4 linked regions of the Caenorhabditis elegans genome follow. The protein of the gene in region 1 purifies or fractionates together with the protein of each later gene. This does not show direct contact. Each region holds a gene or a part of one and is shown in the gene's direction. Other genes may lie near its edges. The genes, in order: ugt-7, mltn-5, srrt-1 and R11G1.1.

Region 1 (5,845 bases):
AAAAAACACGATTTGTCTGTTTGCTACAATTTTATTTTATTTGACGATGATTTGGATAACATTTTCAAAGAACTCACTTACCCTCCATAATAAACTTTTCCATGAACAAAATTGTAAATTATCCAAGACATCATTGCTACAAACCAAGGAATTGAGAAGCCAAGTGCAAGACCATGTAGGATTCGGAATTTATCTAATTTTGAGTTTGCCGCCTGTCTTAACATTCGAACCCGAACCAGTCGCTTGCAAAACTTTGGGATCAAACCATTTTTAGTCCATCCAAAAAGGCATAGGGAAAATACAAATCCAGTTAAACCAGGATACCCGAAGAAAATTCCTTCTCCCCATCCTAATTCTAACGGCTGTAAATAAGTTAATTTAATTTTTATATACAGTGCACACTTACAGCTCCAACTGCTTCCATTAAAAATGAGATTCTTATTAGCGTTACCACAACCATAACAACTCCCAAAAGACATGTGAAAACAGAACAACACTTAGATTTTGTGGAGCAGTCTAGCAAAGAAGCTTTCACCAGGAATCTGAATGGACCAAGTAAGTCAGATGGTGTGTCATCTGAAAATGGAAAATAGTACTTTGAAAACTAGAAACTGAGAATTACCATCGAAGGAAGATACAGGAAGAGTTGACATTGTTACTGTGTATGTTTTAAAGTTTTATTTGAAAACTCTACTATTTTCAAAAATTTTCCAACCTTTATATCTATTCGTTGAATTGTTTTCATAAGCCTCGGCCTGCTAGCACAAATCATACAAAACGGAGCAGACGGAAAGTAAACCAAAGAGACGCAGACGTAGGGAGCAGCGACCAATAAGTTGCAATACATACCAGGAAGATCCACGACAAAAATGTTGGGTACATTTTGTATGATTCGTTGTGGTTGTGAGTCATTTTAAAGGAGATTATAGATACTCAACTTGGTGATATGACCTGAGAGATAGTTTTTTAATAATACACGCGGTTGTTTCATTGCGACGCTCTGTGAGCAATGAATGTTTCGAGAATTTGAGAATTGAAACAATTCGGCTTTTAAATATTTTCACCTCATTGTTGTGCTGACCAATATTTTGTTTGCTTTTAGTTTTTTGGGGACGAGTAATGTTTTCGAAACTACTCAAAATTTTTGAAATAAATTTGATTATTTTTGACCTTTATAGAACTCCTATTAAAAATCAAATTCGACTTCGGTTTTGTAAGTTGCATGCACATACTGTAGAAGTGATATTATTTTTTTAAGCTAAAATTTAGCTGTATATAAAATTTTAAATCAGAAATGAAGTATATTTGAATGAACTTTCAACTCACTTTTTAACGAAAATAAATGGTTCATATTGATTTTATTAAAATTCATAGACATGGAATGATTTTTAGAAATTTTCGAGAACTAGTTTTTTATTCAAAAGAATTCAAATTTTTTGACCGAATGTTTTCCATTTTCCATGTCACAATTTTCGGTCCAAATTATTATTCATACGCTGAAAAATCAACATTGCTGAAAAATTTACTTTTCTTCAATATTTACTATTTATAGATTTCTATATCCTGCAAGTCATTCAATCCTAGCAAGTGAGCAAACTTTCTGTGCATATTTTCTATGACTGAAAGTAATGAGTCATCAGTGAACTAGGAAAGCTGGCACTAAAAAAACAATTTCCAAAAGTTGATTTTGTAACTTCCGTCTCTGAACTTCTTAATGATAAGATAATACGTTTCTTTATCATCATTGCCTAAAAAGTAATCGTCATTTTTCTTATTCGCCATGCGTCTCGTGTTCTTAACTTTTTTCTTGCAATATTCTTATGCTTTTAAATATTTAATTATTTCCCCAATATACAGCTACAGTCATGTGAAGTTTATGAGTAACATTGCTGATACACTTGCAGATCATGGGCATGAAGTTGTTGTATTTCAACAGCAAATTGTTGAAGCTTTGCGAGATAAAAAAGTTATCAAAAATCCAGATATAAAAGTGAGTGTCTTTGGTTTGAAAAACCGTACGGATGTTTAAAATAAAGGTGAAGAATATATCAATTCGTTTTCAGATTATCAACTATGAAGCTAACACTGCTGGAAAAGAGTTCTACCGTAACCGCCCGAAAAGTTCAGTTACCAAATATTGGACTACCAATCAGGCCGCAAATCCATCGGCGGCAGATCAGTTTGCAGAGGCGATGAGCAAGGACTTGGAGCATATGTGTCTACGTAAGTATATTTTTTCGGATTAATTTAGAGGAATATCTTCACAATAATCAAATTAAAAACATCAGAAAAATTAATTGGAATTTTCTGGATAAATGCCGCTTGTCACAAACATTTCTAAATAAAGCACATTTTTCCGCAAAAAAATCCCATTTTCATCTTGTTGTCTAACAGTTTTTTTCAGAAATTTACATTGTACTTCTTGAAAATTATTAAATTTTTAACTGAAATGCTTTACAAGTTGCTGAAACTCTGACTTAACTTTGCAATATGCCCAGTTTTTGGCAGGCTGAAATTTTGTCCAGTTTTTGAGTAAACTTAAAAAATTTGAACAAGCTTCTGAATATTTTCGGACTCCTGTATTTTTTTTTCCAACTTGCAATATTTTCAGAAGTTTTCGAAGACAAATCTCTTCACACAATGCTAAAATCAGAACATTTTGATGTTTTACTTGCGGAACCATTTGATCCTTGTGGTCTTTGTAAGTGCTTAATTTTTCTCTTCCTTTCCAGCGAAATAACCCATTTTCAGATCTTGGAGACTATCTAAAAATTCCATCAACCATTGTTGCAATGGCTTCATCTAGAATTGACCCAGTTCAGTGGGCTCTGGGGCAGCCTAGCGGTCTAAACTTTATACCTGGACCAGATAGCAAGTATGGCGAAGAGTCTGGTGTTTGGGATCGTATTAACAATGTTTGGATGTTTTTTATGAGAACTCGAATGTTTCGAGCAGTTTATTGGAATCTTTTAGATAAACTAAGATTTAAAACTGGTCTTGAAATCAGAAATATTGATGTAAGATAGCATTATTTTCTGCTGAAAACCAAAGTAAAATGTATTTTCCAGGAAATCGTGGCCGAAAGTGCATACTTATTTTACAACTCAAATCCATATCTTGATTTTCCCTTTCCATCTCTCACGAAATGTGTCCCGATCGGCGGATTTTCAATGAATACTACCAATTGGAAATCTGAAAACTTGCCTGAAAATTTGAAAAATATTCTTCAAAAACGACCAAACACCGTTTTCATTTCATTTGGATCAGTGATCAGATCAGCTGATATGCCACAAGAATACAAGTACGATCATTTTAATTTGAATTCTGAAAATATTGAGCAGTTTTCAGAAATGCAATAATTGAAGTTACAAAATTGATGTCAGACGTTACATTCATCTGGAAGTATGAAGACGAGAAAGATGAAGAGATGAGGGGAAACATTCCAGAAAATGTACATTTGATGAAGTGGTTACCGCAGCCAGCATTACTTGGTAGGTGCATAATAATTTGTTGGGGTCGATTTTAAACTTTAAAAATTAAAAACTGATTTAAAATGAACTTTTTTAAAAATGTTTCTTCGGGGGCTTGTTTCAAATTTTAAGCGCATTCCGAACTTAATTACAAAATTTTTCTAGGTGCCAGAAACTTCCAGTTCAATAAAAAAAAATCTAAATATCAGGCATATATATGACCGCATTTTTTTATTGGAAGATTTATTTAGTTTTCTTAACTTTAAAAATTAATATCTGACTTCAAACTAACTATTTTCAAAATTCCCGTAGCCATAAAAAGTTTCATATCCGCTGAGTTCAAGAAACTTCCCGAACTTGATCCATACTCGAGGCATCTCAATTTCTTTCAATTCTTCTTTTTGGATATTGTGGCTACTTTGCTCATTTTATTCATGTTGTCTGCGTTGTTTGTTTATTGGATAACTTACGTTATTTGTTCGGTTAGGTCTAAATCAAAAATGGAATGATTTGAAAATGAAATAGTTAAATTTATTATGGTCTCAGCCATATTGGCCCAATTTCTTTATGTCATAAACGTTTCAAAATGTAAAAATTGAACAATTAGAGCTGTCATGAAAATCGTCGCCGTTTTTGGGCCACTCTGGTTTTTTAGGGCTGCAAACTCGGCATGCTTCACAAGTCGTTCGATTGGATTAATTGGTTGTTTTTGAAGAAGATTGGATAGCTTTTTGGCGTTCGCCAGATATTTTGGATTTTGAATCATATTTTGAATAACTTCCTTCAGTTTTTTAGCATTTGAAAAAAGTTTCATATCCGCTGAGTTCAAGAAGAAAAAGTGGATTTTCATAAATTTTAGTGCACAATTTGAAATTTAACAATTTTTAAAAATGTTTCTTCGGGGACTTGTTTCAAATTTCAAGCGCTTTCAGAATTTAATTAAAAAATTTTTCTAGGTGCCAGAAGCTTTCAGTTTAATCAAAAAACTAAATTTCAGGCATATATATGATTTTATGATTTTTTTGCATTTTTTTATTGGAAGATGTATTAAGTTTTCATAACTTTAGGCCAAATATTATAATAAAAACCTTTTTTAAATGAAAATAGAAGAACAACTTTCATCCTCCCCTAGTGAAATAATTTGAGGGGGTACTTCCCTCTCTAAATCTGAAAACCGTGACTTCAAGTTCAAAAATTCAGTTCGACTCCGAAACCAAAATGTAAAAGTATAACTGTGCACTTTTTCAACGCGCGAAAACGATTTCTCAAACACCTGTCAATATTTACAAGAACAGGCAACAAAGTTCTCTAATTCATTTGTATCTTTCAGCCGATTCACGTGTTTCCCTGTTTATTACTCATGGCGGTCTTGGAAGTATTATGGAAGTTGCGTATTCTGGAAAACCAGCAATTGTGATTCCCCTATTTTTCGATCAGCCGATGAATGGAGAAATGCTTCGAAGACATGGCGGAGCCGAAGTTTATTCGAAATTTGAACTTTCAAATGCTAAAAAACTGAAGAAAGTTATTCAAAATATGATTCAAAATCCAAAATATCTGGCGAACGCCAAAAAGCTATCCAATCTTCTTCAAAAACAACCAATTAATCCAATCGAACGACTTGTGAAGCATGCCGAGTTTGCAGCAGAATTCAAGAAACTTCCCGAACTTGATCCATACTCGAGGCATCTCAATTTCTTTCAATTCTTCTTTTTGGATATTGTGGCTACTTTGCTCATTTTATTCATGTTGTCTGCGTTGTTTGTTTATTGGATAACTTACGTTATTTGTTCGGTTAGGTCTAAATCGAAAATGGAATGATTTGAAAATGAAATAGTTAAATTTATTATGGTCTCAGCCATATTGGCCCAATTTCTTTATGTCATAAGCTTTCCAAAATGTAAAAATTGAACAATTAGAGCTGTCATGAAAATCGTCGCCGTTTTTGGGCCACTCTGGTTTTTTAGGTCTCTTTTGGCAGGCGATAGCGGGCAACACAGCGCAAGTAGCAAGTAGCAAGTAGCGACAAGTAACACCTTCACAAACACCTACGTGCCTGCCTACTCGCTTACTTTCCTCCATATCGATGTGCCTACCGATACTTACTTCATGTTATTGGGTTCCCTGAATCCCATTTTTTCCATAAGACATCATTGTTTTAATTGAAATATTTACTTGAACTTGTGTAACTCAATTCCTTTCCACCACTCACTGAACATCATTTTTATTTCAAACCCACCGAAGAACACAAAAAAAACAAACCTAAAAAAATGCCATACCGACTTCCGACGAACCTCAACTTGTTGATCTGAAAAACAAACATAATTTACTGATCTCCTTGTATTATTTGAATGTGTGTATTTACTAATTTTTGA
Region 2 (7,598 bases), on another chromosome or scaffold:
TTGGAAAGTTCTAGCATTATTTTTTGCTACAATCAATGGAGATAGTAACTTTTGCTCCAGAAGAAATTAGTCAGAACCTGAAAATTGGCGCCAAACTTATGGTTTATATCGTGCCGAAGTTTAACCCAATTTTATTTCAAATTGAAAATATGCTAGTACAAAAAAATATTTGGTAAATGATTGGTAAGAGTTAGATCAAACGTTTTACGCAACACTTAGACCAGGGGTGCGGCAAATCTAAAAATTTGACGAGCTCGGCACATTCGATACTTTTTTATGGTTTCTCTGGTATCTGATTAAGTTCCGTGTGGTGTGTCTGCTTAAACATCAAAATTATCCAATTTTGTGGCGTTTTACTAAATTTCTGAGGCCAAAATCAACAGTTTTGGCCAAAATTGTAATGCCAAGTTTTTGATGTGTGCGGCAAATTTTAAAATTTGCCGAGCTCGGCAAGACTTAGACTAGCAACTTTGATTATTTCTATCACATTATGCTGCTGGAAATGCGGTACAAGAATTGTGCCTCACCTTGCAAGATATCTCATCTTATAACTGAAAATTATTAAGCATTAATTTAAATTTATCATATTAAACAGACAATTATTTCAGCCTACTCTAAACCCATCACACTATATTTCCAGGTCCGCCAAAAAGACATCGTGCTCTCCCCAATCGTTCTGACCCCAATCATCAACAACCCTGTGCTAACATCTCAGCCTCTTATCCTCTCCCCGGCTCTCTTTGTACCCTTGATTCAATCTCCAGCAGTCTTCGGCGCAGTCATCCTATCACCTTGGGTATTTGTCCCTGTAATCATTTCCCCCAGAATTTTGAGCCCGGTAGTTCTTACCCCATTCCTCTTTGCTCCAATCGTTCTATCACCCCTTGCTCTGGTCCCAGTGATATTGTCCCCTGGGATCTTAAATCCTTTTATCCTATCACCTCTGGTTCTGTGCCCCTTTATATTGTCCCCTCAAGTCATGACTCCGTTAATTCTCTCTCCTTTCGCTCTAACTCCCTTGATCCTTACTCCACTATTATTATCCCCAATTGTCTTATCACCTTTTGTGTTATCTCCACAAGTGTTATCACCCCAGTATGTCACTGGAATTATCTTGTCCCCGTATGCTCTGTCGCCGGCGATTGAGTCGAAGGGTGAAATGGTGACGGTTTTTGCATCTCCGAGCTGGCTTAGCTAGATGAGAGAAAAACTGAAAAATTGTATAATTACTATGGGTAACTAATAAATACATTTCATTAATGGTTTAGTGTAGGGCTCCCAGATTAGTAAGACGCGAAATGCGGGCCTCACGCCGCTGTGTGTGGAAGCGGCCGACACGTTTAGGGTTCCGCAGCTTGGCGTGAAACGACTAGCTTGGTGTGTGCGCAACGTAGTGCGTAAGCTTTGGAAGCGGCCGACAAGTTCGGGGTTCGGCGGTGACCTCATGGAAGTCCTAGTTTAATGTTTGAAAGTTTTTGAAAAAATGGCCTTTTTTGGAGGAAAATTCGAATTCAAACTAGAGTTTTCTTCCTCTCCCGCCGAAAAAATCAAAAATCAGTGTCATTTTCATTTTCATTTTCCCTAATTGCCGTAAAATCCAAAACCGCAACACTTTTATGTCGGAGAAGGCGTGCTTTGTTCCCCGGGCTTAGGAAGTTTAGCGGCGTCGTCTATGATCCTTTTATCGCCTCCGGAACAAATTGATACCGATTCCTAAAGTGTATCCAATCATTTGATCTTCATTATTCTTTTTCCTGGTTCAAAATGATGGTGAGGATAGGGCTGGTGGTGATGCTGATGTTTGGGAAAGGTGAGTGGATATTAATAATCAATGTAAAATGGTGATTATCTTTGTCGATAAATTCGGAAAATCAGCAAATTGCGGACTTGCCGGTTTGCCGGAAATTGTCAATTTCGGCAATTTGCTGGTTTTCCGATTTGCCGGAAATTTAAATTCTGGCAATTTGCCGATAATTTTCTCCAATAAAGTTATACGCATTTGCACCAAAATAAGGTGTTGGGTCTCGACACGATAAGCCTTTGAAAAGTACTGTAATTTCAATTTTTAGATTTTTCGTAGTTTTTGCATGCATGCGTTTTTGCTTTTCCATTTCATTTGTTGATAAATTTGTTTGCAGCAACGAAAGTTTGAAATTACAGTAATATTTAAAAACGCAAACCTTTTTGTATTTAACAAAAATTTAGAATGTCGAGACCGGGCACCGTACTCCGGCCACAAAAATCGCAAAATTCTGCGTCTGAGTAATATCTTTCTAAAAAACTTTCAATTTGCCTGAAAGCTTCTAAATTTTTTTTAAAGTTTTAGAGGGTGGTTGGGTCAAAACTGTAATATTTCAGAAGCTTCATAAAAATTCCAGTGACTTTTGAAATATCTTTCTTTTTTTGTTGATATTTTTCGAAATTTTCACTTCTAGGAATGGAAGAGTCTCAACTTTTTTTTGTTGGTAATTTCCGATTTCTCGTAGAAAAAACCTGCCTATAAGGCCGCCTGGTAGGCACGCACGCAGGCATCCAAAATGTGATATAATTTTTCAATGATCTTCCGCACTGCAACTTTTTCCTCACGAGGGACGAGGAAAAGTGGTTTCTAAGCCATGGCCGAGGGGCCGACAAGTTTCAGCGGCCATTTATCTTGCTTTGTTTTCCGCCTGTTTTCCTTCGTTTTTCACAGTTTTTTCCCGTTTTTTCTTATTAAAACTGATAAATAAATATTTTTTGCAGATGCTAAGACAATTTCCAAGTAAAAAAATTATGTATTCAGTGGGCAAGCAGCGGTGAAAGTGGGCATTGTAATATGATGGATTACGGGAATACAAAACCTAAACTTTTTCTGAAACATGATACATATGATGCTTAGATGCTGAAATTACCTGATTTTCATAACGAGACCGCTGAAAAAGTTTTGAGGTTTTCAAAATTCAACTTTTTGTGCGAAAATCTCGACTTTTTCACCAAAAAAGTTGAATTTTGGAAACCTCAAAACTTTTTCAGCGGTCTCGTTATGAAAATCAGGTAGTCTCAGCATTTAAGCAGCATATGTATCATATTTCAGAAAAAGTTTAGGTTTTGTATTCCCGTAATCCATCATATTACAATGCCCACTTTCACCGCTGCTTGCCCACTGAATACATAATTTTTTTACTTGGAAATTGTCTTAGCATCTGCAAAAAATATTTATTTATCAGTTTTAATAAGAAAAAACGGGAAAAAACGATGAAAAACGAAAGAAAACAGGCGGAAAACAAAGCAAGATAAATGGCCGCTGAAACTTGTCGGCCCCTCGGCCATGGCCTAGAAACCACTTTCCCTCGTCCCTCGTGAGGAAAAAGTTGCAGTGTTCCGAACTATGTGGCGCTTCAAAATCCCCCTCAATTTTCATGTGTAGTTTGATGAATTAAAACTCAATAAAATAAGTAATTCCACGCGCGGACTCCTCGCGATCAAAATGAAATGCGCAGCATCCCCAACTGATTTATCGACGGATAGCGTCGCTCCGTTTATGTACACAGTCATAAAAGCGGTGGGGTCGTAAATGTTTAATAGTGGCAGACAGATTGATGGCGATGAACCTCGAGAAATACGGATCTTACAGAAATTCATGGAGCATTAAACTTGGAGAAAAAATTGAATGTGACCCTCACTGCTAAGGATATCAAAGCTTCTCCTTACTATAAGGATAAGGTACTCTCCCTGCCAATTTCCAAAGAGTCTGGAGCAGAACTTTGGCAGCACTGGACGGATCAAGCATTTTCAGGGCTCATATCAGCAATTGCTACTAGGAGGTGAGGGGTTTCTGGTTTTCTGATCTCTAGTAAGCTCCGTAATTTTCAGGTTAAAATTAGTGGAGAAATATGACAAGAAAAAGCATGAAAAGTGCTCTTCAAAAGCTCATGATATCACTAGTCATGCAAAATGTCTCGTTGATTTGGAGAGTGATGGATTGAAAAATCGATTGCTTAAGAGAAAAAAGTACTTTGATAAAAGTAAGTTACTCGGTTACTCGGGAGAAAGCTCAGAAATAGCGTCCAATTTCAGAGACCCGCAGCTCAATTGAAAAAACGCCGCAAAAAACAGTAATGAAGCCAGATAAATTGAAGAAGCTTAGAAGTATGGAAGCCTATGAAGCTTCTAAAAATCCTAAGAACAATAGAAAGTTAATAGGAAAAGCGGTGAAAGCTAGAAATTGGGTAGGATCATTCAAGACGTTGCGAGCAAAGCGATCGGTCAAAAATGCAAACAGCTACACATTGAAGTCAGACTATGACAAGTAAGTCTGCCTACCTCATGCCTACCTACTGCCAAAAATTCATACGACCCTTTTGCTCAATTTTGTGACATGCGTGTGGTTCTATATATATATGTATATCCCATTTTCCATTTTGCAAGTCTTAGAAAATTTCTCGACGAGCTTCCTAAGATTCCAACTCAAAAATTCTAGATCCCCATTTGCAACTATCACCAAACATCTCAAGAATACAGTCAAAGCCTTGAAGCACAAGGACAAGCTATCCAAATGGCAGGAGATAGTTGAGCGTATACAGAGAAAGAGCATTGATTGGAAGAACCGAAAAGAAGCAGAGAATATACAGCGGAAGAGGTTGAGAGTGTTTCAAGAAGCCAAGAGAGTCAGAGCAGATGAGAGCATCGGACGTTCGGGTATGAAGAGGAAGAAGCAGGACAATGGATTTATGAAGGTCAGTTTATTTTAGTATGGGAGTACTTAGACCATTGAAATTATCACTCTAATTATAAATTTTTTATGAGGGGAGAATTTTACTCTACCCTACCCTTTTTATAATTCAGTACAACCAGACGGCCTCTGTTAATCTCTTGTTCTACTTAGTGTTTAGTTATAGTTCTACCACAGTGACAAAAACTCTGACAATCCAAAAATAATTTCAGACTTTATCCAACCCTGAACTGGAGAAGTTGATCGACGACGAAGACGTCAAGGACCTCTACTATCAAAAAGTCTCTAATATGGCAGACGACGAAAAACTCATGATGGTACCAATTGACATTATTAGACAGGCTACCAAAATTGGATTGGAGCTCAGCGGTCATAACACCACAGATTTTGATGAGAAGTCTGTCAAAATGATTAGCCCTCGGTTTATGAGTGTTTTACCTGAAGACAAGAAGGAGAAGAATGATACGGTAGGTGGATGTTCAGGAGATGTGATTTTGAATCTTACAGATCATTGCAGATTGAACTACTCTCACCTTCTCTATTCTCCTTGCACAACTCGGGAACCGGACTTGAAAAGAAGACTTCATTTAGCTCAATTCTCGGAGCTCTCACTACTGACACCGACACCCAGAACTTTTTAGATCTACTGGTAGAAGCCACTGGAGTAGCTGAGGCCGTGGAAGACGCTGAGCACAAATTAATAGATGCTCAGAGAAAGAAAGATGATGCGATGGGAAGAGGTCCTGATGGTCAACCACTTTATTTTACGAAAGAGAATATCACAGAAAGATTTCCATCAGAAGCGAGGAAGATAGAGTTAATGGAGAAGTTGGATAAAACCTATTCAATTGAACAACTGAAAGATATGAATCAAACCGGGTATACTGTATTGACACCGAAGCAAATGCAACTGATGTACGGAAAACAGTCTCCGTTCAAGAATCCAAAGTTATTGAGGACTTATAAGAATATGACGAGGGCAGAGATTCATAGATCGATTCACAGTACGATTAAGGATGTGGCAGATGAAAAGTTGAAGTTTGAGGTGAGACTTGCTACCTTACTTACTTAGAATACTTACAATTAGTAGAGTAGATTGATCTGGACATTCGGGTTTTGTGTGATTAGTATCTGAGATCTGACCAACTTTACTTATTAACAGCATAGCTCTATAATAAGTCATGGGACTCCAAAACTGTCAGGCCAAACGAGTAGCCTACGTTAGCAAAATTTGGCCGATTAAAGGTAGAGTGCCGAAAAAAAAAGTTATGGCCGCTCAAAGTTTTTGGAAAAAATGGCCTATTTATAGCTAAAATCTCAAATTTTGGCAACTTCTCGGTGCTGCAGCGGTTGGAACTTAATTTTTATTTGATTGTCATCCTTTACTGCATGTTTTGGCATTTTATTACGTGTTATTTTGTTGGCTGAGATGCTTTTTTGGTCGATGCGGGCACAAACTTGTATCATCATTTTTTCCAACCGCTGCGACACCGAGAAGTTGCCAAAATTTGAAATTTTAGCTAAAAATTGGCCATTTTTACAAAACTTTGAGCGGCCATAACTTTTTTTTGAAAAATTTTCAGAGCGTCTCATTACGAAATTTGATAGTTTTGGACCATTTTGGGTCTAAAAAGCAAAGTCTCAAATTTCGGTACTCCACCTTTAAACAAGAACTCCTACTGTAGTTCTGGCCACTTTCGTAAAAAATCAAAAATTTCCAGGTCCGCCAAAAAGACATAATCCTTTCCCCAGTCGTCAATACTGCTCTCATCAATGCTCCAGAAGTAGCATCGCAGGCACTCATCCTCTCTCCCGCCGTCTTTGTACCCCTGATCAACTCCCCCGCAATATTTGGATCCGTCATTCTGTCCCCCTGGCTATTTGTCCCCCTTATAGCATCGCCTCGAATCTTGAGTCCAGTCATTCTAGACCCATTTATGTTTGTCCCTATCATCCTCTCACCTGTTGTTCTGGACCCAGTTGTGCTATCGCCGGGGGTGTTCAATCCATTCATCCTGTCACCTTTGGTCCTATGCCCTTTTATTTTATCACCTCAAGTCATGACCCCGCTGATTCTTTCCCCTTTTGCACTGACACCCCTCATCCTGACACCTCTCGCATTATCCCCTATAGTTCTTTCACCATTTGTGTTGTCACCTCAAGTACTGTCACCACAGTACATATCAGGTCTGTTCCTCTCTCCATATGCTCTATCCCCGGCGATCGAGTCGAAGGGAGCCATGTTTACGGTATTTGCGTCTCCAAGTTGGTTGAGTTAGTAATAATTAATAATGATTTTGTTTTTATTTTCAAACAAAAATTGTTATTCAGCAATAAAGAAAATGCGGAAAGGGAAAATGACAAAGAGATATGTGGAAAGAGAGATTTTTTGATAGGAAGTTAAAAAAAGTTAAAAAAGCAGAGAGGAGAGCGCAACGAGAATTGCTAACACTGAAAGCGATTGACAATTGCTCGTGGAGATGGCCGAATTGCATCGATCGCCAAGGCAACTGCATACCCGAATGCGTTGAGAGTCGGCGTGTTCGTGGCTGAATAGGTCGGACGCTGACATGTCCCTGGAAATGGATTTGATTAACCTAGGCCAAGTGTCGAAAGCTCCAAAAAAAAAACAAACCTGCAAATATCATATCTATCGAACATGCTGAGCGTATGATTATTTAAGCCTCTTCTAGCTATCGTCAGTGCGCAGCCACGCATGTAGAGACGGTGTCCTGTTGGTTGACCTGGAAACTCAGAATTTGATTCAGAGTTGATACACGGCCCTCTTGTTTTATTAATGTAAGAGCTTGCCAAACTAGGCCATTTTGAGTCGATCACGGCTGGGGTAGATTTACTGCGCGTTGCGTGTCGCGTCACGACTTTTCCA
Region 3 (5,122 bases), on another chromosome or scaffold:
ACCGATTTCTCCTCGTCGTGGAATACGTTCTCCGCGAGCCGCGTACGCAGCCATTCCGGCGCCCTCTCCTTTTAGTAGATCTTTACCATAGTTTCCGGGCTTCTCAACATCATAACCACCACCTTGATCACGTTGTTTAATATGTTCTGGGAGAATTGGCGTCGGTGACATACTTCCTTCTTTCCATGTTCCAATCGTGCCAACAATCTTTTCAGACTGCTTTTCTTCCCATTCTTCTTCAGTATCAGAACGATTATTAATCTTTCTCTTCAGCTCAGCACGTTCTTTCTTTCGTTGCTCACGACGAGCTCTTCTCTCTTCTTTCTCCTTATTTGCCTTTTTGCTCTTTTTCTTCTCTTTCTTTTCCTTCTTTTTATCCTTTTTACTTTTCTTTGATTTCTTCACCTTCTTCTTCTTCTTCTGTTCAAAATCACTTTCCTCCGATTCAGAAGATGTCGAAGAATCGTCTTCAGAAACATTTCTAACTGCTCTCATTTCTCTTTTCTTCTCCTTCCTTCTATCTTCTTTCAGTTCTTCTCGTTTCTTTTCATTTTCTGCTTGAATCTCTTCAGCCGCAACTCTCAATTTATAAGTGTCATGTATCTCCTCATGAGTTGGCGAATGTCCCCAGATGTTATTCAGGCCATCGGCTTGGATATTAACTCGCTGGAAACGTCTTTTTGACCACATTTCAGCTCTACGATTTTCTTCTTCATCCCTCCAATTTCTAACAGGCGGCGAGCCGCTTCGTTGTCGTTGTCTATAATTTCTTCTTGGTGGAGACTTTGAACGGCTCTGATCTCGTCTACGTTTTGCTGGTGGTGGACTTCTTGAGCGTTGTTGTCTTCTCGGAGGAGGAGATCGACTCCTGGAAACTTGACGTCGTGGTGGAGATCGGCTTCTTCTGACTGGGCTCCTTGAAATTCGACGACGTCTTGGTGGAGAAGGACTACGACGAGTACGACGTGGTGGAGATCGGCTTCGTTTTCTTGGAGAATCATCACGACGTCTTCGTGGCGGTGAGGCACTCGGAGCACGAATTGGCTCTCGTTTTCGTTTTGGAGGCGAATTTTTTACAACTGGGCTTGAAGATCGAGAACGGGAGTCTGATTCGGAACTTGAACGGCTTCTACTTCGACTACTTCTGGAGGAATCTCTGAAATTATAAATTATAATTATTTTTATTTTAAAAAAACGTAAATTTCGCTTCAGAAAATCCAAAGTAGTCTCAAATTTAGAAATATTACAAAAGAAAATCGAAAAAATCCAAGTTTAAAAAGCGCGATTTTCCTATTCTGGTTTGAGAAAATGTTGTATTTTTTAAGCAAAAATTGATTGAAAACTCACCTTTTTGACTTCCACATTGGTTTGTCTTTGTCCCCGCTGCCACTATTCGTTCTTCTTCTGTTCTAAAAGTAATTTTAAATGAAAATAACATTTTTTGAACGTGCAAAACGGCAAAGTACCTCTCTCGACGATGATCTTGAACTTCGTGAATCATCTGAACTGCCTTCATAATCCAAAGAAATATCACTCATCTTGTGAATTGAAGTAGAAATCGGCGCGCAATCAAAAAATTCCGGAATTCAATAAAAAAATGATTTCGAAAATGACTGGAGATAAAAAAGAACAGAATTTCTGCGCGGCGGTGTTGCCGAGCAAGTCTCCGCCCACTTTAACCGTGCGGCGTGCAGCGTTCAAATTGGAAAAAAACATTGCGCGTTCTTTAGCATATTTTTCAGTGATTTTCTGCATTTTCTGCTCGCAAAATGTGTTTATTTTGATCCAAATAAATTTGATTTCTTCTGAATCACTTCAATTTATCAAATAAATTCTTATTTACAGAATGGTGGACTCTGATGATGATGGCGATCGCCGCCGTGACAAATTCGCCCGTGAACGTCGTGATGAGGAGTAAGTTTCTTTCTATTATATTTCAAATACTAAAAAATCACTCATTCTGTTTCAGTTATCGCCGTGGTGGAGGCGGATTCAATCGCTATGACAACAAGCGTCCTGGAGGACGAAGAGATGATTACCAAGTAAAGCGGAGTCGTGGAGAGTTAGTATCGTTTTTTGTTTACGTTGAAAATCTATGTTTTTTCAGCGACGCAGATGACAGTTTCGATCCCGTAAGTCGTTCTGGTAATGGTTCGGATTTACCCACTGAATCGGATTCCATATATTCGGGACCACTTCAAACATTCAAAAAGTTCCTCACTAGCCAGGAAGATGATATCTCGGAAGAAGATGCTATCAAAAAATATAATGAGTACAAGACAGAACATAGAAAACATCAACTTGAACGGTTCTTCCGTGCCCATAAAGACGAAGAATGGTAAATTTCAGCTTCGATTTTCAAGACCAGAGGCGCATTATGCCGCGGTCAACGGATTGGTTATATCTTTGAATTTTTCACTCGGCACGGATGCCATTCACATTTTGTTCCAATACCCGTTGTCTTTTAATATCTTGAGTTCTAATTTTTCAACATCTATTTCAGGTTCCGTCTTAAATACAAACCGGATGATGCGAAGAAGTTGCGAGAGGCGCATTTGGAAAATGTGCAGAAGCGCTTGCAGGTTTTCAATGAGTTGAAGGAGCAGGGACAATTCAATAAATTCTCTCTGGATTTCGGAGATGCGGAGGCAATCATTAGAATGCTAGATTCAGGTAGATTTTGTTTTTAAAGGTTTCGAATATATGTTTAATTTTGTTGTATTTTCAGTTGTTGTCAAGCTGGAAAATGGAACTGAAGACGAGTTGAAAGCTGTTCTGGCTCAAAAACTAGAAGACGAGTCACTCGCTGACATTAAAAAAGACGAGAATGGGAATGGAACCGAACAGCCGAAAGAAGAGCCAGAAGTAAAACAAGAATCCGGAGCAACGGAAGAGTTGGAAGAGGGAGCCATTGAAGATGGAACCGAAAAGTCATCGAACAAGGTCAACATCCACAGAACCTGCTCGGTTTTCTTGAGAAATATCCCACCAGGTCTCACATATGAGGAACTAGAGGGTCTCTGTAAAAAGAGCCCAGGATTTTTACGTCTTGCTCTGACCGATGGAATTGCCGAAAGAAAGTTCTACAGAAGAGGATGGGCTACATTCAAGCGAGATATCAATATCAAAGAAATCTGCTGGGCACTCAACGCACATCGTCTGCGAGAAACTGATCTGAATGCAATCATCAACCGTGACATTACTCGTCGTGTTCGTACCAATAATGGGATTGCATCTCATAAGCAAGTTGCGATTAACGATCTGAAGCTTGCTGTCAAGCTCACTGTTCTTTATGACAAGAAGATTGGTTTGTTCAACGCTGCTGATGAAGCTGATGCTGATCGTGAGATGGATATTCGTATGGGCGTTGATTTAGTCGCTGCTTCAACGAATCCGTTGATTAAAGAAGTTAAATCACTTGTTCCACATGATGTTCTCAATGATATTAGTGAAGAGGAAGCTGAATTATTGGGAGTCTCGAATGGAGGTGAAGCACCAGCTGAAAAGATTCGGTTTGAGCGCGATGATAATATCCTGAAGGCTCTCGATCTTCTCATCGTTTACCTTCGCATTGTTCATTCCATCGATTTTTATAATCACGGACATTATGCGCAGGAAGATTCGATGCCGAATCGATGTGGCTTGATTCACGTTCGTGGGCAGCCGCCTTCTGGAGTATCAATCACTACTGACGAGGATGGAGCTCTCGTCGTTCCACAGAAATTTGTGAACGATTTTATTTCGGGATTCAATAGCCGCATTGAGAAAGGGTTGATTGAAAAGCAGTATGTAAGCGAGGAAGAATTGGAGAAAATGGGCAAGAAGGATGGAGAAAAGTAAGTGAAAAAATTTGCTTTTTTAAAAATAATTTTTAACAAACCCAAATTTTCAGGGAAGTTGAAGCTTTTATTCAAAAGAATACTGTCGAGTTGGCAAAGGATAAATGGCTCTGTCCGCTTTCTGGAAAGAAATTCAAGGGACCTGAATTCATCCGAAAGCACTTGCAGTCTAAACATGAAGACAAGCTGGAGGAAGCGAGAGCAGAAGCTGACTTTTTCAACAATTATCTTGCCGACGCCCAAAGACCAGTCGACTGTGAGCCCAAACAAGCTCCAAGAGATGATCATCGTGGAGGTGGTGGTGGTGAGCGAGGTGGATATGGAAGAGAACGAGACGATGATCGAGGACCTGGTGGTGGAGGAAGTGAGTTGTTCAACTCTTGAAATTTCATAAATATGATTAATTTTCAGGAAACTCTTTTGGCGGTGGAGGATATGATCGTCGTCCCCAATTCCCTCCTCGACATTCACTTGGTGGACGAGGTGGTGGTGGACGCTACTTCGAGGATGCGCCACGTCGTCAGCCAGTCTCGTATCGCGATTTGGATGCTCCAGATGATATTCCATAATTCCATCCTACGTTGAATCCAATTCAAATATATGCACAACAAATTATGCTATTTATTTCCCCCTTCTCAATTAAATATTAGTTTTAACTAAATGTTTTTGTATGGCCAATAATAATCTCCTTTTTTAAAAAACGCTCCATTTTCAATACGTCCCTAATGAAATATGATTCTGTGTAACTCAACGGAACTTTTTATTAGAAAACAATCATCATAACAAGAAAAGTAAATATAACATTTAAAATTAACAAAAGTACATGTTTTCCCATCTCACTTGTCCTCCAAGTGCATCTTTTTCAGTCGGAGGTAGAACACAGGAGCAATGGGATCATCTTGGTGGGTTACTGTCTGGAAAAATACAGAATGTTGAAAGTTGGATTTCAAGTATTACGGGAGCTGAGAATGTGTATTGCGCAACATATTTGACGCGCAGATTGTCTCGTAGCGAAAACTACAGTAATTCTTTAAATGACTACTGTAGCGCTGTTGTCGATTTACGGGCTAGATTTTTTGAGATTAATTTCTTTTCGAATAGTGACAGGGTTTCTTCACATAATTTTCTATATTTTTTCGATAAATAAAGAATTTTAATTATTTTCGAAAATCAATCCCGTAAATCGACACAAGCGCTACAGTAGTCATTTGAAGAATTACGGTAGTTTTCGCTACACGATATTGTGCTCGCCAAATATGTTGCACCATACGCATTCTCAGAAT
Region 4 (4,877 bases), on another chromosome or scaffold:
GCTATATAGACTTGTTATAAAAAAGTAGTAGCTAAAATTAAAAAAAGTTTCTGGTTACTTTTGGTGTTGGATCCGTTTCCTGTCACGACCCCCGTAAGAAAAACCTTTCCACTCAGACTTTATACTCTCTTAAAATATTTCATGTATATGTGTGCATGCAAACTTGCTCCGGAAGTTGCTAAGTTTTTGAATCGCCATTTTTTGAGTTTTCATGTCGGACTATACTTTTTGTCAACCAGTGTTGCAATACAACTGCACAAAACTCCGTCATAAGATTTATTGGATCTGAAAACTGATTTCTTATAGCTCACTGACGTAATTTATTAAATGTTACGTAGCAAAAAAAGATGAAGCAAGTTTTAAGAGTAGGTCAAGTGAGTTATTGGAGGTAGACTGAGTGGTCAGAAGCAAGGTCCACCACAAAACGGAAGAGCATAAAAGGCGCACCTCTGTGGGAGGAAAGGCAAGCGCCCGTGCGGTCATCAATTCTTTTGCTGCCCACTTACCAAAAACTATACTTTTTTTGCCGAATACCACATATGTGTTATCTTTCCTTTGTTAATCATGCTCAGATGGTTTCTTTGTTGGTGTTGACTAATAGTTTGTTTCAAGTACAATGACCTTGCGCTCATTTTTTTCTTAGTATAGTTTGAGCTCTCTATTTCTGGATATTTCTACTTTGTCCATCCATTTAGGAAGTTCGTAAAATATATGTACTGTATTTACCACTTCACTAAATTTTTTTTCAACTCCCTATCACTTCTTTAAAATACGGTCATTTAAAAATTACTTTCTCTTAATTAATCAAGAATTGTTAATGGCTAATTATCAAAAATAGAGGTATATTTGTTCATTTTTCAATTTTTTTTCTGGTTTATAAAGCTCCTCTGAAATATTTTCCTTGTTAAAAAATTAAAAAATTTATAAAATTTACCGCATTTCATATTGTATGGTTCATAATTGACCTCTTCTCATAGTCAGATTGGGATTTTACAATTATTTAACAATTTGATATTTATTTGCGTTTAATTAAACTTTAATAACTTTGTACCATTGTTTTTTATTATCAATTACTGAGTTTATGCCACTTTTTGAGAAAACTATAGCTTTGCTGCATGTTTGAATCCCTACAATTCTTGAAACATAACTAGATAATACATTTTCAAAGATACATTTTTTTCCGACCGCTTTCAAGAACATTGCAAAAATAAGTAATTACCACTTTTGAAACAATGTTTTTATAAGAAAGCATTCAAAACACGTTTGAAAATTTTAAATATGATATTTGATCATTTTGGCACGATCGGAGTGGTTTTCAACAATTTCCCCACTGGCTCCACCTTGAAATGTAAAAACAACTAAAAGTTATTTTTATACCATCTACATTCTTCCAAAAAAAATTATACTCATTCCCGAAACTTGTTCTTTACTTGAAAGAACTCAGCAAGATTGATGGAAAATGATCGGAAATGGAGGTTGCGCTCGCTTTCTTTTCTTGTCCCGCAGCCTATCTTCGTGTGTTTTCTTGTTTCAACTCACCGACTATAGTTACTGACGCATTCCAAAGAGCTATTATTGCTCATGTAATGGACACTGCTAACCAATTGTTCCAATGTGCACTTTAATCGCTCCTTATACTTTTCCTGTCGTATTACCCGCCTCCCAATCATGCCAGTATATATATTTATCCGAATAATTTTTGAGATGTTAAAAATTTTATTTTTTTTCTGCAAATTTTAAAAAGGTTTCGAAAAATTTCAAACGCTTACAGATCCCAATTGAAAAGATCAACATAATTGGATGAGTGAGACATTCTGATGTTGTCTGCTCAAGAGTACACATGTAACCAGTTCCAGTCTTTCCATGCTGACCGTCTGTCTATATTTGGTCGTCTTTCCAATTTTTGCTTCTTCGCAGTTTTTATCATATGATGGTAGGTGAAGCTTCAGAAAATTCAATTTCATGTCCCAATTTTCAGCAATTCGAATGAGGGTACCAGGACGTTGTATGTTGGGTGACTATGATTGCGGGTTAGGTCAGTGTGTTCCAATTTCTCAATTTCGAGATGGAAAACCTGATTGTATGGATGGTAGCGATGAATGTAAGTACATGAAGCAATATGATTTTAAGGTAATTCACGTTTAGGGTGTTTCATCGGTCAAGTTAGTTGTGGTCCAGTTTATTGTGCAGATTACAAAGATGCACTTCCATGTATTGTTTATCCTAAATGTGACGGTTCATCAAAACAACTTCCATGGTGTTCTACGTCAAGTGAGTTCATTTTAGGTTTACCTAATAATCTCGATTAGTATATTAGACATTTGAAGGGAGTAACTTCCTGCTAAACAATTGAAAACTGCCATGGAATTTCGTTTGCCAACTTTTTTGGGCAGTTTTTAATAGAGCATGTCAATTATTTAAAAATTCAGAATATTTTTATTTTGTCTGAATTTTTGTCATTTGTCTGCAGCTAATACTCAATAGTTGGGAGAAAAAACATACGGGAATAAGTTAGTGAAATTTTAAATTTTCAGAAGAAAAACTATGTGCGGATGAAACGTCATTTCCGTGCAAAGGTTACGGAGAGTGTGTTTTGTGGGAATGGTTGTTAGACGGGAAGAAGGATTGTAACGATGGCAGCGATGAAGGTATTTTTACTTTTAAAAAATTGGCAAATTGATAAAAACAATTTTTGATCGCAATAGTATGTAGTGTTATTCTCTGGAACTAACGTTTGTAATATTGTTTGAAGAAATATTCTTGTGTGGATTAAACTGGAAATTTGGAGAGTTCAAAATCAGAATTTGTTTTTCCAGACGAAAACTATGTGATGCCTCTTGAACACGCCTATAGATGTGCCAGAAATCAATCCGGACTCTATCTCCCAAAACCAGTACCACCACCACCGGAAGATCACCCGTCTCTCTACGTGGAAGGTTGCTCAATGTGCTCGAAACCATCTACCGTCACCTTGCCATCTAATCCTGTGATAGACTATACTACTCCAAAATATCCGTTTATTACATCTCCTCTGCTGGGAAATACAAAACCACCGTTGAGTAACTTCCCAGTATTTCCAAGTGAAGAATCAAAACTTGGGGATTTCTTCCCTGAACCATCCGGTGTCGAAATATCACGAGTAACTGGCTTCCACAAACCAAATGAGCCAATAGGAGACTTCTTTCCAACACATTCATCAACACCTGTACCTCCAACAGAAGCTGTCACTCAATCTCACACATTTCGCCTTATAACAATTCCATCAATTAGCCAGACGCAGTTTCCTCAGGCTCCGCTCATTTTTCCTGGACGGCCAGACTTGCCACCCATCACTGCGCCCTCACCTCTAAACAACTGGCCAATTCCAATTGTGACTACCACACCGGACCCACACCATCAAGGCCCACTTCCGCCGATTACGTATCCAACTATAGAAGAGGGTTCGGAAAAGATTCCACCAATAAAACCGGGAATTATAATCAGCCGACCGGTCACTTCAAGAAAACCAGATCTACCATCAGAGTTTGAGTATGGAGGAGGCACGGGTGATGGAATATCGCAACCACCAGGAATGAATCCATTTGACATGCTCACTAGGCCCAGTGTTCCAATGACAACTCCAGGACCTTTTGACATGTTTCCTAATGTACCACCTGTAGACCTCCGCCCAGTTACCCGACCATGGGAATCTGAAAAAACAAAACCTTATCCTGGTGTTACAATACCGGATGAACAAAAATCCGGTACCGACACGTTAATACCATTAATTCCTGGTCGCATTCTTCCAACTTTCGCAACACCAAGACCACTCTCCATTCCAAGTTTTTTCACAACTCCCCAGTCACCCCATAGACCTTTCGTAACTCAAAATCCTCCTCATGGTGCATTACCAACACTGATCCCACAAGCCGAAATTGAGAAGTATGTGCAAACGGAAGTACCACCTCACTCTGGTTTCGAAATACCGGGAGGGGGTTTCACAACACCTGGTAGCCATATTACCCATCCTTCGAAAGTTCCAGAAGGTTTCATTGAAGAAAAAACATTGCTGACGCCTTCTACAAACAATGCTCAGACAACTCAGATAGACAGAAATCTTACACCGAAAACCACCACTTTGAAGGCTACATCTCGAACAAAAATTATTCATGTTGGACCAAACGGGGTTGTTGAAGAAATCGATAATAATGAGTCGACGAAGATTGAAAATGAAACAAATTTGGGAGAACATGAAGGACAAATTGTACCAGGATCAGATAAAGTCATACACATTGGTCCAACAGTGAAAACGACTCCAACACCATCTAGTGGTACTTCAACGATTGTCACCGAAAACAGTTCAACCTTCGAATCGGTATCGACTTCAAGTGTTCCAACAACAACAGTGAAGACAGGTGACCCACAGGTTGATGACTGCCTCCGAAGAATGTCTGATTCTGGTGGATCGGTAATTTGTGATTGTCCAAATGGCCAATTCAAAAACACTGGGAACGGGCAATGTGAAGGTATTGTTCAAAATTGTATCGCTTTAATTAATTTTGCTTGAAAATATTTCAGAAACTCTTTCATTGGTGGTTGTCAAAGTGAAGGTTAACACAGTTTGTAATACAGATAAGGCATCGCTTGAGCAAAAACAGCGGATTTTACATCAAAAGGTAGATTTGTGGGTATCAATTATTTTTCATATTGGAAGTTTTTGCAGATTGGTCAATCTTATAAATCGTGCATTCGTTCGGCGGAACATGATTCTGCATTAGTTGCTATTGTTCAATGTAGTGACTGCACTTTGCAAGAGATCGATCGATTGTTAACGACAAGATCATTCGGGGAGCCTGGAAACTTGAATCTGACTGCAGAAGGTGAGTGTGCACAGCTTA

What was found.
Region 2: the proteins of ugt-7 (region 1) and mltn-5 fractionate together in Caenorhabditis elegans (co-fractionation; one large-scale study listed by BioGRID). This does not show direct contact.
Region 3: the proteins of ugt-7 (region 1) and srrt-1 fractionate together in Caenorhabditis elegans (co-fractionation; one large-scale study listed by BioGRID). This does not show direct contact.
Region 4: the proteins of ugt-7 (region 1) and R11G1.1 fractionate together in Caenorhabditis elegans (co-fractionation; one large-scale study listed by BioGRID). This does not show direct contact.

What each region holds. Positions count from the first base shown.
Region 1 is NC_003283.11:4,996,494-5,002,338, reverse strand, and holds ugt-7 (glucuronosyltransferase), read left to right. Parts: upstream 1-1,772; 5' UTR 1,773-1,780; coding exon 1,781-1,990; intron 1,991-2,063; coding exon 2,064-2,223; intron 2,224-2,611; coding exon 2,612-2,701; intron 2,702-2,751; coding exon 2,752-3,017; intron 3,018-3,068; coding exon 3,069-3,301; intron 3,302-3,348; coding exon 3,349-3,491; intron 3,492-4,800; coding exon 4,801-5,291; 3' UTR 5,292-5,318; downstream 5,319-5,845. Other genes in the region: srr-8 (Serpentine Receptor, class R), read right to left, coding at 82-362, 407-576, 623-653.
Region 2 is NC_003280.10:13,923,527-13,931,124, forward strand, and holds mltn-5 (MLt-TeN (mlt-10) related), read left to right. Parts: upstream 1-1,682; 5' UTR 1,683-1,764; coding exon 1,765-1,810; intron 1,811-3,613; coding exon 3,614-3,803; intron 3,804-3,852; coding exon 3,853-4,004; intron 4,005-4,056; coding exon 4,057-4,288; intron 4,289-4,459; coding exon 4,460-4,715; intron 4,716-4,923; coding exon 4,924-5,178; intron 5,179-5,228; coding exon 5,229-5,756; intron 5,757-6,432; coding exon 6,433-6,990; 3' UTR 6,991-7,070; downstream 7,071-7,598. Other genes in the region: hot-3 (Homolog of Odr-2 (Two)), read right to left, coding at 7,122-7,287, 7,347-7,455.
Region 3 is NC_003279.8:4,130,655-4,135,776, forward strand, and holds srrt-1 (Serrate RNA effector molecule homolog), read left to right. Parts: upstream 1-1,845; 5' UTR 1,846-1,846; coding exon 1,847-1,914; intron 1,915-1,969; coding exon 1,970-2,062; intron 2,063-2,107; coding exon 2,108-2,338; intron 2,339-2,503; coding exon 2,504-2,673; intron 2,674-2,728; coding exon 2,729-3,836; intron 3,837-3,892; coding exon 3,893-4,203; intron 4,204-4,250; coding exon 4,251-4,408; 3' UTR 4,409-4,583; downstream 4,584-5,122. Other genes in the region: let-504 (NF-kappa-B-activating protein C-terminal domain-containing protein), read right to left, coding at 1-1,156, 1,348-1,409, 1,467-1,538; dph-6 (Diphthine--ammonia ligase), read right to left, coding at 4,676-4,753. UniProt on the Caenorhabditis elegans protein: Acts as a mediator between the cap-binding complex (CBC) and the primary microRNAs (miRNAs) processing machinery.
Region 4 is NC_003284.9:3,657,629-3,662,505, forward strand, and holds the start of R11G1.1 (EGF-like domain-containing protein), read left to right. Parts: upstream 1-1,863; coding exon 1,864-1,933; intron 1,934-1,978; coding exon 1,979-2,101; intron 2,102-2,145; coding exon 2,146-2,271; intron 2,272-2,534; coding exon 2,535-2,648; intron 2,649-2,816; coding exon 2,817-4,505; intron 4,506-4,557; coding exon 4,558-4,655; intron 4,656-4,702; coding exon 4,703-4,859; intron 4,860-4,877.